Linked DNA regions of Drosophila melanogaster. Each later gene encodes a partner of the first gene's protein in a complex. Each region holds a gene or a part of one and is shown in the gene's direction. Other genes may lie near its edges.

Region 1 (5,878 bases):
GCCGTCTGGCTGGTGCCCAACATGGCCGGCCCATCGATACGATTGCGATTCAGATTCATTCACCCGCCATGACACCGATGTGCACACGGTTTTCTTGGGCCGAATGTCCGACGGCCATATCGCTTCGGCACAATGTAAACAATGAGAGTTGTTGGGCCCGGGGGACCTTATCAGTAAGCAGCATAGGCGGGAAAATAGATAGGACGTTGAGCAATCGATATTCTGGTGGAATCAAAACGGCCGAGCGATTAACAGATTTTAAGGGCTTTAATGCTAAGCACACACTCCCTGATGCAACTTAATGGTACACTTAATCCTAGACATTCCTCAAAGTATTCCCTATGTACAAAAGATATGGCAAAGAGAGCTACTCCTCATCCTTGATGCAGTTCTCGACCAAATCCCTCAGATTGGGGTTCTCCATGGCCGCAGCGATGCGCTCCTTGTCATTGATTTGCTTGTTAACTGGGGAAACGTAATCATTTTTACTTAGAACACATATGTATGATAATAGTATCTGGTTGGTCCAACTTACTCTCTTCCTCGGTTTGATGCGCTCCCTTCTTGATGTATATGTCTAGCTTTATGTTGTGCGGAAGTCCGCGTTCTACTTTCACGCGTATACAGAGTCCAATAAGCGTGGCCAACGAGCAATGTGGCACTGTGGGGTTAAACTCGATGCGAACCTGAAAGAATTAAGAGACAAATACCATGCATTTCAACTTTTTACTACACAAAAGATTTATGAGGTGTGGATTTAGTATAATACAAGTACTTTAAGCTATGAGATCAATTTTAAAGTCATTTTGAAGCTAAATCGTTAATCCTTTCAAATATTAAGCAACAATAGTGATGAAAGCAAATAAACACACGCGCAGATTTAACTTATGATGAAATGATGATTAGGGCTCAAGCTTATGGCTTATAAAGATATTGAGTAACGTACAACTGAGACATTGGAGCGCGTGGGCGGCATCACAAAGATTCCATCCTCGTAGACAACGTTGAGGTCCTCCAAAGTGCACGGCTTCTCGGGATCGCGAATGCCGCGCAACAGATCTGTGTAACGACAAGAGAAATTACATAACTAGGCCAAAGTGAAAAAGAATGCCATTAAATATCGAACCGTAGATGGTTTCCTGCAGTTCCGTCTGATTCTTGTAGCCCAGTTCATGGAGCAGTGCGTCCTCCCCGAAGGCAATGGCCTCATCATCCATCGACATCTGGCTCGTTTTGCGCACTAACTCGTCGGCGTTCTGGCTGCGTCCGCTGATACTGGCGCTGCTGCTGCCCGTACCGCTTTCACTGCTGCCCGTTCCGCCCGCTCTCCCACTATCGCCGCCGCACGACGACGTCACAGTTGCGACCGAACTGACGCCGCTGTCGGATTCGGAGAGCTTGCGCTTTATGTAGGACAGCATGTTGTGGCACCTGTGCGTGGTGTTATCTCGCCTGGTTTTATCTTTACCGTTGTGTGCTTGGGTGATTACAGCAGCATAATTCGGTCGGCAGGCGATCTATTTGCTTGGTAATTCTTCACTTTTGCGGTGCAAATTGTTGGAAATAAGCGATGGCATCAGCTGATTATTGTTTTTCTGCCGACCAGGGCTGCAGAGTAGGTATAAGTGCTAAGCCGTCTTCGATAAGTCTATCGATAGTGATATCGATACCCTGTCATCTCTGGCGCAACCATTTGAAATTCGTCATCCCTGATCCTCTTATCAGTTCTTGTCTGCGCTTTTGTCCAAATATTTGTTGTTTACCCACCAATTTTGCCGGCTAATAATTGGAAAAAAATTTATTTACAAGCTGAAAGACTATATTTTATTATAGCAGCGGTAAAAATATTCTGCAAAAAGTTTTCACCTGCACAGTGGGCGTTGTGGCAAGATGTGGACGAGTTGCAGCTGTCTAACCCATCGTACTTAAGTCAAAAACCTCGATTAGCAGGCTTTGCATATGTCAAATTCGCGCACTTTTCCTAGGCCGTCGGGTGCATCAGGAAATTATTCATTACGTTTTAGTTAGTCGTACGAATTGTTTCTTATTTGTGAAAGCTCGTCGAACAGAAGCAAATTTCGCTTTAACCTTTTGAAAAATAAAGGAAAAAGTTCGTAAAAAGCGAAAGAGCCCATCGAAACCAACACGAAAAAGGAGTTCAATAAAGGTGAGCCCAAAAGAAAAGTGCTAAAGTGTGGTGAAAGTGAACATACATACATACACATAAAAACATCTGTGTAAAAGATGGCGCCACTGGAAGAAAACCGTTAGTTGTAGCTTTGGGTTTAATAGACTCTTGAAAATTCGTAGCCCGTCACTTCATATCGAAAATCTAGTGAAAGCGGTTCGCGTTTTGCAAAGGAAATCGGTTCCTTAAAAAAAAAAAATTCTAGTGACTCAGCTAATTTCGTTATCCGAATTTTCTAGATTGCTTTTCGCAGATCATATAAGAAAATGGTTGCCGATAACATCGATGCCGGAGTGGCCATTGCCGTCGCCGATCAATCCTCGTCGCCCGTGGGCGATAAAGTTGAGCTGCCGGCCGGTAATTATATCCTGGTGGGCGTGGATATCGACACCACTGGACGTCGTCTAATGGATGAGGTAATACCCCCTGACTGCCGTTAGATCGTTCGTCGTTCGGTCCTAACCCCACTTGCGATAAACCCACAGATTGTCCAGCTGGCCGCTTATACACCCACCGACCACTTCGAGCAGTACATCATGCCATATATGAATCTGAATCCAGCTGCTCGCCAGCGTCATCAAGTTCGTGTTATTTCGATTGGCTTTTATCGTATGCTGAAGTCGATGCAGACTTATAAGGTGAGTCCAGTGCAGTCCAGTCCATTTAATAGTGGCAGTCAAGTATTGAAGCATCCACAATTCAACATACAATATCCTCTCAGATCATTAAATCCAAGTCTGAGATCGCTGCCCTCAAGGACTTCCTCAACTGGCTTGAGCAACTGAAGACCAAGGCGGGTCCCAGCTCGGACGGGATTGTGCTTATCTATCATGAAGAGCGCAAGTTCATTCCCTACATGATCCTGGAGTCGTTGAAGAAGTACGGCCTGTTGGAGCGCTTCACCGCGTCGGTGAAGTCGTTTGCAAACAGCATCAATCTGGCCAAGGCTTCCATTGGCGATGCCAACATAAAGAACTACAGTCTGCGAAAGCTTTCCAAGATCTTGTCCACGACCAAGGAGGAAGACGCGGCTTGCTCTGCGTCCACATCTGGATCTGGATCTGGCTTGGGATCTGGATCTAGTATGGTGTCCGATTCGGTATCGATATCCCCCAGGGACAGTACCGTGACCAATGGTGACGATAAGCAATCTAGCAAGAACGCCGTTCAGGGTAAGCGGGAACTGTTTGATGGCAATGCCAGTGTTCGTGCCAAATTGGCCTTTGATGTGGCCCTTCAGCTGAGCAACTCCGACGGCAAGCCGGAACCAAAAAGCTCGGAGGCATTGGAGAATATGTTTAATGCCATACGTCCGTTTGCCAAGTTGGTGGTGTCCGATGTCCTGGAGCTGGATATCCAGATCGAAAATTTGGAGCGTCAAAACTCCTTCCGTCCGGTGTTCCTGAACTACTTCAAGACCACTCTGTACCATCGTGTGCGTGCCGTAAAGTTCCGCATTGTGCTGGCCGAGAATGGGTTCGATTTGAACACGCTAAGTGCCATCTGGGCAGAGAAAAACATCGAGGGCCTGGACATAGCCCTGCAGTCAATTGGCCGGCTAAAGAGCAAGGACAAGGCGGAGCTGCTCGAGCTTCTGGACAGCTATTTCGATCCCAAGAAGACCACGGTGAAGCCGGTTGTCAAGGGTAACAGCAACAATAATAACAATTATCGTCGTCGCAATCGACGCGGCGGCCGCCAATCGGTGAAGGACGCTAGGCCATCCAGCTCCCCATCGGCTAGCACCGAGTTTGGAGCAGGAGGTGACAAGTCGCGCAGCGTTTCCTCGTTGCCCGACTCTACTACCAAGACTCCCTCGCCAAACAAGCCGCGTATGCACCGTAAGCGCAACTCGCGTCAAAGCTTGGGTGCAACCCCCAATGGACTCAAGGTTGCTGCTGAAATATCCTCCTCAGGCGTGTCTGAGCTCAACAATAGCGCTCCACCTGCCGTAACCATAAGCCCAGTCGTGGCACAACCCTCACCGACACCGGTGGCCATCACGGCCTCCAACTAAAATCCAGTTCTGGTGGATCCGTAAAGTAAATATCTTATATTGAGATACTTCTGCCATTTGCTTTGTAGATAACGTAGTTAACGAGGGGTAAGCCTTCATGTAGATTGTTGATTAATTTTATGAATTGCGTACACTTGCTTGTATTTTTAATGAATTTTATGCATCAAATATATTGATAAAAATGTAGCCTTTTTTAGCTAAATGTAAAAGGTTTTATTACATATTTTCAATATAAACTCACAACGCTTAAGCTAATCATTCAAATCACTTTGGGATTTTCGGGATTGAGTTTCCTAACCGACATTTTGCCATTTCAGTATATCAAAAAATGGATGATCAAAACACAAGAAGACAAGGGCAGAGAATGGAGATTTAAACCACATACGAACTTTCTTCCTTTTAGAAGATCTAGTGCAGACAAGCTTTAAATTCCAGTGGAAGCAAATTTCCCGTGAACACAACAAACACATCCGCGCACAACTCACGAGCACGTTGGTGTATCGATAGTGTGAGTAAACCGTGACTGTGACGTAAACAGTGACTGTTGAATAGTGATGACACAAGCTTCAAGCGACATTTTTGAAACGAGTGAATTGTTAATCGAGACGTTTGAAAACTATATTGTCCAGCATAGGGAGGATGCTGAGCCCACTGTAAACTCAAGAGACTATATATCCACACTTTAAAGCAGCGTATGCTAGAAATAATGATGGAGAAGAAGGAACAACAAATATGATGTACAATTAAGAACTCGCTGCGTTTAGGCATAGTTTTCCCGGCGAACCGATGCACATCGCCGCACTCAAATGGGAGATTGGGAAAATATGATCCAAAACGAAACGCCTCGATGAAAATTTTCCATTGGACGGGCCTGTCGACGCACACTATCAAAACTCTATGAATAAAACCCAAGATCCAGGCCTGGTCCAATGTAGAAAACTTTCACATTGAAGCTAAAGAAAGCACGATATAAAAATACACCAATCTAATACAGTTAACCTTACGCACGCACACGCACGCACACAGAAAGCATATTCAATTCGCACACTTAATCTAACCCAACACTTGTGAACATATCCAGTATTTCAAGCTGTATTTCATATATGTTTCATATTTACAATCAACAAACATATGTAATATCTGCAAAGGGCGCGAATAAACGAACGATAAACTAACGAATCAACAAACATATGTAATATCTGCAAAGGGCGCGAATAAACGAACGATAAACTAACGGTCAGCCTATCGCGCCGAGTCACTGTTTTCACTCTCGCAGGTGCACCGCTAGGTGTGACCGTATTGCCGCCTGGCCTGGAAAGAGTGGGCCTGTGTGGATTGCTTCCATACCCATACCTGGTGATCAGTGATCACCGATCAGTGCAGCATCGTCCATTTCCCGGCCAGAATGGACGTCGATCCCGCAGAAGAGGCGCCTCTAGACGAGGCACATACGTCCATATACGACGGCTATCCGCCCGATTTCGGCTACTTCAACATGGCCCACGGAATGCTGGTGGAGATCTCCGAGGAGATCCGGGCCAAGTTTCCCCACGAGCCGCGTCTACGTTTCTCCCAGCTAAACAACCTTCACCTAGCGGCCCGCAGTGGTCAGATGTTGAGCTTCGTCGAGATCTTGAATTCGGTTAGCTGCAGGGCGGTGCAGACCCACCTGG
Region 2 (5,593 bases), on another chromosome or scaffold:
CTTTCGCCCGGTTTGCATGTATTATTTTCGGAAACGTAAATAAATCCCTGTGGGCAGCACTTGTTTACAAATCCAACACTTTGAGACGGCACATTCTTTTCGAATTCACAAGATAAAACGATGAGACGTCTGTTTAATAGTCCAATGCATGAGTTATTTCGCAAATTCAAGGTGCGTTCACCTAAATCACTTATACTCAGACTGCTAAAGTTCTGGCACTTTGATAGTGCGAATTGGCTGTGGCCTGAGTCATTGATAGCCTTTTCTAATCCAAGGCCCATTGGTGGTATCAATTTGCCTATCACTTGGGCAAGATCCGGAAGTTCACTGATGTTGCTTGCGGCGGAAGCGCACTGGTATATTTCCGCATTGTCCACAGTGCGGCGATATTTGAATAGTAACGAATTCGCGGCACAGCATAACTGAACGGCGAGCACTTTTGAAATGCCACTTAAAATCAGGCACACTAAACTTAGTCCGATGTTCATTGTTTACGGCTCGTCTATTATACCCAATGACCGATTTGCGAGCTTGTGTAATGTTTGTATCTTTTCTTAGAACGGACTTTTCATATCTTATCATTGAGGAATCGTTATCGGACCATATACACTTCGAACCGCATGCAGTTGCCGGATTTAACGAACTGAACTGAAGTCTTCGCGATTCCTTCGCGAGCAAATGCGAATGTTTATGGGTAAACATTTGGCCCGCACACAGACGGACATAGCTCGACGTATATAGGCAATACATTTATGGATTCTCGTAAGCCTATACAAATAAGTTATGCCCCATGGAGTGCCTAACACTTAGCATGCTGGGGGTGCTCACGGATGGTATCAATACACCCAAATGGCCGCATATTTATGTAGGTACTTTGTGGTTCTAACACATATCTATCTATCTACACAATTCAATTGATGACTTTGTACACTAGCTTCTGACGGCAAGACAAATGCGACTGCTCGTGTTAACATTGTGCAAAGCTCATTAAGGGGAAATTGATAAGGTACACAGATACACACATCCATACACACTTATGTACAGAGGTGGGTGAGGTAAGCAATGGATCCTTTAATCGTCTAAGTACTCTACGCACCATAAATCACCTGGAAAATGTCAACGATACGCAAGTATTTATCTTTTCAATTAACTTAAGTCTAGTTATTAGCTGACTTTTTTCCATATATTCTTTCATGACACAAACTAAAATCGCAAACATAAATGTCATTTTTATAATATACAAATCTCCTCTATCGCAAGTACTATTTATTTATTCTAATACAAATATATTAATTTTGTCATTCTCCAATCGGAATAAGTATAAATAAAGTATAAATCCATTGGTTAAGAAAAGAAAAATCAAAAAAATAATTTTTATTCATTTTAATGTTATTAGTTAGTTTCTAATGTGATCTTTCATTAAATATTTAATACTTATAAATTATAAATGAAAAGATATTCATAAAAATCGCAGACAATCAAATTAAAGCTTAACTCAGATGTTCTTCTTTCATACACGTTCGAAATCTTCCTGTCGTTCCTAAGTCCCGTTCACACAGGCAGCTGCTTCATCTGAAATGCAGTTCATATATTGTTTTTGTTATAATTAAACGGTGATTTTAACCCGGCCGGAGTGGAGTTGCTCATTGGAAATGCTTTTCTAAATTAATTTAAATTTAAAATAACGGCAACAGCAGCTAACACAACAAAAATGTGAAATATTTGGGTATACATATACACCTACAGGATTTATAAGAGGAAAATTTAAATGCCGATTTTTTTTAAATAAAATAATTCTTGCCTAAATATGTGGACTAATTTTAAAACGTTCATTTGTTTTTGTTAAGCCATGTATAAATTTCTACAATATTATTGTTCGTCATTTTGAACTTGCAAAATTTGTTTCATTCCAACGTTCCAAATCAGGGCAATACATATTTATTATCTACACCGAGTGAAAATATTTTCCGAGTCATCAGAAATTTGTATTATTGATAGCATGTTGTAAGGCGACTCGACTATTTTGAAGCTAAGTGAAATTTTATATTGAAACGCAAAGTTGAATACGTGAGCAGTATATGAAAATCGGTGAATACAGTGACTTCATTAGTCAGCCGAAAGCAAAAGAGAGCGAAATACATTTTTTAAACAAACTAAACTAAAATTTCACTGTGAATAATGATGACTGAAAAGTTAAATTCTGGGCACACTAATTTAACAAGCAAGGGGTTTGTATATTTTATATTTATTTATATTTTTTTTTTCACAAGAGGACCCAAGCTTGGTGTCCCAACAAACATAATATGCATGCGTATTCATCAGCCCATATTTATGATTAGATGCCGAAAAGACAAGCCGTTTTATAGTTTAGAACGTCAATTTTTGCAAATGATTGAGCATGTAAAAGCCGAAGATCTGTATTTTAGCAACATCATGTAGTTAGGCTGTTTTCACTCAACAACTAAACCTGCAGAACATGTTATCTAATGAAAAAAACCAAACAATGTGATTCCCGTATTTATATTACTTTATTGTATGTAGTAGCGGAACATGTGTACATATGTATAAAAGAGTTATCTACATATGTAGTTGCACTCGTGGACTTATTTACCGCTAAAAATGTTGCTAAATATAATTGCACTGACTTAAATCATTTAGAAACTAACACTGTATTTAGGTAAAACTTCTATTGGGTGATTCTCAACTTTTGAGATCAGAACAAAACAGGTATTTTTTTTTTGCATTTCAGCGCCATGAACAGTTATTCGTGGGCTGCCATTTTAAAATTTGGAGTAGCGTTTCTTTTTCTCTCCTCCATAAATGTGCGAAAGAGAAAAAATGTTGAGTTCAATCGCTTTTAGATTGTTCAGTTCTTAAATATTCAAGACATTATCCATCTTTGTTTACGATTTAAAATCAATATTAACATTATTATTAATATACATTAATACATGGCTTAGACTTTAGCTTAAAATGCACTTTACATAAAAGAACTCATTTACAAAATTTTAAAAATCAAAAATTTTTAATATATATATATGCTTATATATGCCATCCATATATATATGGATGTGAATGACCTACATATATCGTAATACTTTAATTACCATTTTATTTTTTTTCTTTTCATCCAGGATTATAAATGATCTTCAAATTGCTGGAAACACAAGTGACGATATGGGCTGGAAATCAAAGCTGAAGCTGCCGCCAAAGGACAACCGATTCAAAACAACTGTGAGTTTGCCGACAAATCAATCGGAATTTATACAATTTAAAGCACAAACAAACTAACAAATAAATGTATTGCCATTGCCTTACTCAGGATGTGACCGATACGCGAGGCAATGAATTCGAGGAGTTTTGCCTTAAAAGAGAACTGCTTATGGGTATATTCGAGAAGGGATGGGAGCGCCCTTCGCCAATTCAGGAAGCAGCTATTCCTATAGCATTAAGTGGAAAAGATGTGCTGGCTCGGGCCAAGAACGGCACAGGCAAGACAGGAGCCTACTGCATCCCAGTTTTAGAACAAATCGACCCAACCAAGGACTACATTCAGGCACTTGTGATGGTCCCCACCCGAGAGTTGGCGCTACAAACCTCACAGATATGTATTGAGCTGGCGAAACATCTTGATATCCGGGTAATGGTCACAACGGGAGGTACCATTCTAAAGGATGACATTCTTCGTATTTATCAAAAAGGTGGGTTTTGATGATAGTTAAATAACCTAATATCGGTTTAATTGCAACTTTCTAAATTTTCCCTACGCCTGCAGTACAATTAATTATTGCCACTCCCGGACGAATATTAGATCTGATGGATAAGAAAGTTGCCGATATGTCGCATTGCAGAATATTAGTTTTGGATGAGGCCGATAAGCTATTGTCGCTTGATTTTCAAGGCATGCTGGATCATGTTATACTAAAGTTACCAAAGGATCCACAGATCTTGCTATTTTCCGCAACATTTCCACTAACAGTCAAGAATTTCATGGAGAAGCATTTACGCGAGCCTTACGAGATCAACCTGATGGAGGAGCTAACACTGAAGGGTGTCACTCAGTACTATGCATTCGTACAGGAGCGCCAGAAAGTACACTGCTTGAATACGCTCTTTTCGAAGCTGCAGATCAATCAGTCTATCATATTCTGCAATTCCACGCAACGTGTCGAGCTATTGGCCAAAAAGATCACAGAGCTTGGATATTGCTGTTACTATATACACGCTAAGATGGCCCAGGCACACAGAAATCGAGTATTCCACGATTTCCGCCAAGGACTCTGTCGCAATCTGGTGTGCTCCGACCTGTTCACCCGTGGTATCGACGTGCAGGCCGTGAATGTAGTAATCAATTTCGATTTCCCACGAATGGCAGAGACATACTTGCATCGAATTGGTCGCTCAGGACGTTTCGGTCATTTGGGTGAGTTTAATTGCATTCTCATATTATAGTTTAGCCTATTTACAATCTTCGTTTCTCATTTTAAGGTATTGCTATTAATCTGATAACCTACGAGGATCGGTTTGATCTGCATCGGATTGAAAAAGAACTTGGAACCGAAATAAAGCCTATTCCGAAGGTCATAGACCCCGCCCTTTATGTCGCAAACGTTGGCGCATCCGTTGGCGATACTTGCAACAACAGTGATCTGAATAATTCTGCGAACGAGGAGGGCAACGTTAGCAAATAAAACGGATATGCCCTGTGTAACGCTAGTATCTGAAATAGAGTCTAAATCGTGGAATCAATAAAAACAGATGAACTATTTCAGAAATCAAAATTGTATTAAATAAATGGAAAGCAATTCAATTTTTAAATGCGCTCTTAAGATAACTGAAATGACTGGTCTATAAAAAAAAGGCTCGTTCACTTTGTGGGTTTTGGTGCTGAGAAGTATTAACATTAACTATTGGGGATTTGGTAAGGAAAGTTAGTCGAATGCTATTAAAAGGCAGGCTAAGGTCGTTTAATATCAATCCAGTTTTTAGTAAAGGGTTTAAATCAAATAAAAGGTCTAAAAGTAATTACAGGATTTTCGGACAAGAGAAGTACACTTGGATCAAGCTAAATCCTAGATTTACTTACATGGAAGAATTACCATTGGCAATTACCCGATTTACTAGATTCCAAAAAAAAAGTACAAAGGGATCATTATAATTTAAATAAAATTTATTTATTAGCATCCAAAATTGTAAGCTTTGCTTGTCAGAATATTTACAATAAATGTACAATATTAAACAAATCATATATATAGGATAGGGTCATAAATTTCAAAACTTTACGTATTAAATATGTTCGATGAGGAGGAAGAGGAGTCGGATTGGTCAAAGTCGATTTTCGCATAGGTATTCCCATCCTCCGGGCATGCGGACACCGGCGGCGATTCGCGTGATCCTCTCTTCAGGTATTTAGCTGGATTTTGGCCACTGCAATGGGGAAGATCTAGGCTGGCGTAGTGCAGCTCCGGCTGGGATATGCGAGACGACGACCTTGAGGGGAAATTCAAATCTTTAATCTGTAGAATGTTCTGTGGTGTACTTGGATCTGTGCCAGTGCTACGCGAATCGGCGGCGGCGGCTGGCTTTGCTGAAT

Evidence for each region.
Region 2: exu (region 1) and me31B share a complex: the UniProt entries of both Drosophila melanogaster proteins name them as parts of the osk RNP complex.

Annotation. Positions count from the first base shown.
Region 1 is NT_033778.4:20,666,927-20,672,804, reverse strand, and holds exu (exuperantia), read left to right. Parts: upstream 1-2,043; 5' UTR 2,044-2,167; exon of another isoform or gene 2,168-2,169; intron 2,170-2,313; exon of another isoform or gene 2,314-2,427; 5' UTR 2,428-2,454; coding exon 2,455-2,604; intron 2,605-2,673; coding exon 2,674-2,826; intron 2,827-2,909; coding exon 2,910-4,205; 3' UTR 4,206-4,230; exon of another isoform or gene 4,231-4,453; intron 4,454-4,522; 3' UTR 4,523-5,378; downstream 5,379-5,878. Other genes in the region: galla-1, read right to left, coding at 368-465, 536-686, 947-1,059, 1,127-1,421; Fem-1, read left to right, coding at 5,611-5,878. UniProt on the Drosophila melanogaster protein: Ensures the proper localization of the mRNA of the bicoid gene to the anterior regions of the oocyte thus playing a fundamental role in the establishment of the polarity of the oocyte. May bind the bcd mRNA.
Region 2 is NT_033779.5:10,237,358-10,242,950, forward strand, and holds me31B (maternal expression at 31B), read left to right. Parts: upstream 1-1,983; 5' UTR 1,984-2,178; coding exon 2,179-2,228; intron 2,229-2,581; exon of another isoform or gene 2,582-2,727; intron 2,728-3,134; coding exon 3,135-3,234; intron 3,235-3,322; coding exon 3,323-3,701; intron 3,702-3,775; coding exon 3,776-4,423; intron 4,424-4,488; coding exon 4,489-4,691; 3' UTR 4,692-4,815; downstream 4,816-5,593. Other genes in the region: mthl15 (methuselah-like 15), read right to left, coding at 1-488; chico, read right to left, coding at 5,280-5,593. UniProt on the Drosophila melanogaster protein: ATP-dependent RNA helicase which is a core component of a variety of ribonucleoprotein complexes (RNPs) that play critical roles in translational repression and mRNA decapping during embryogenesis, oogenesis, neurogenesis and neurotransmission.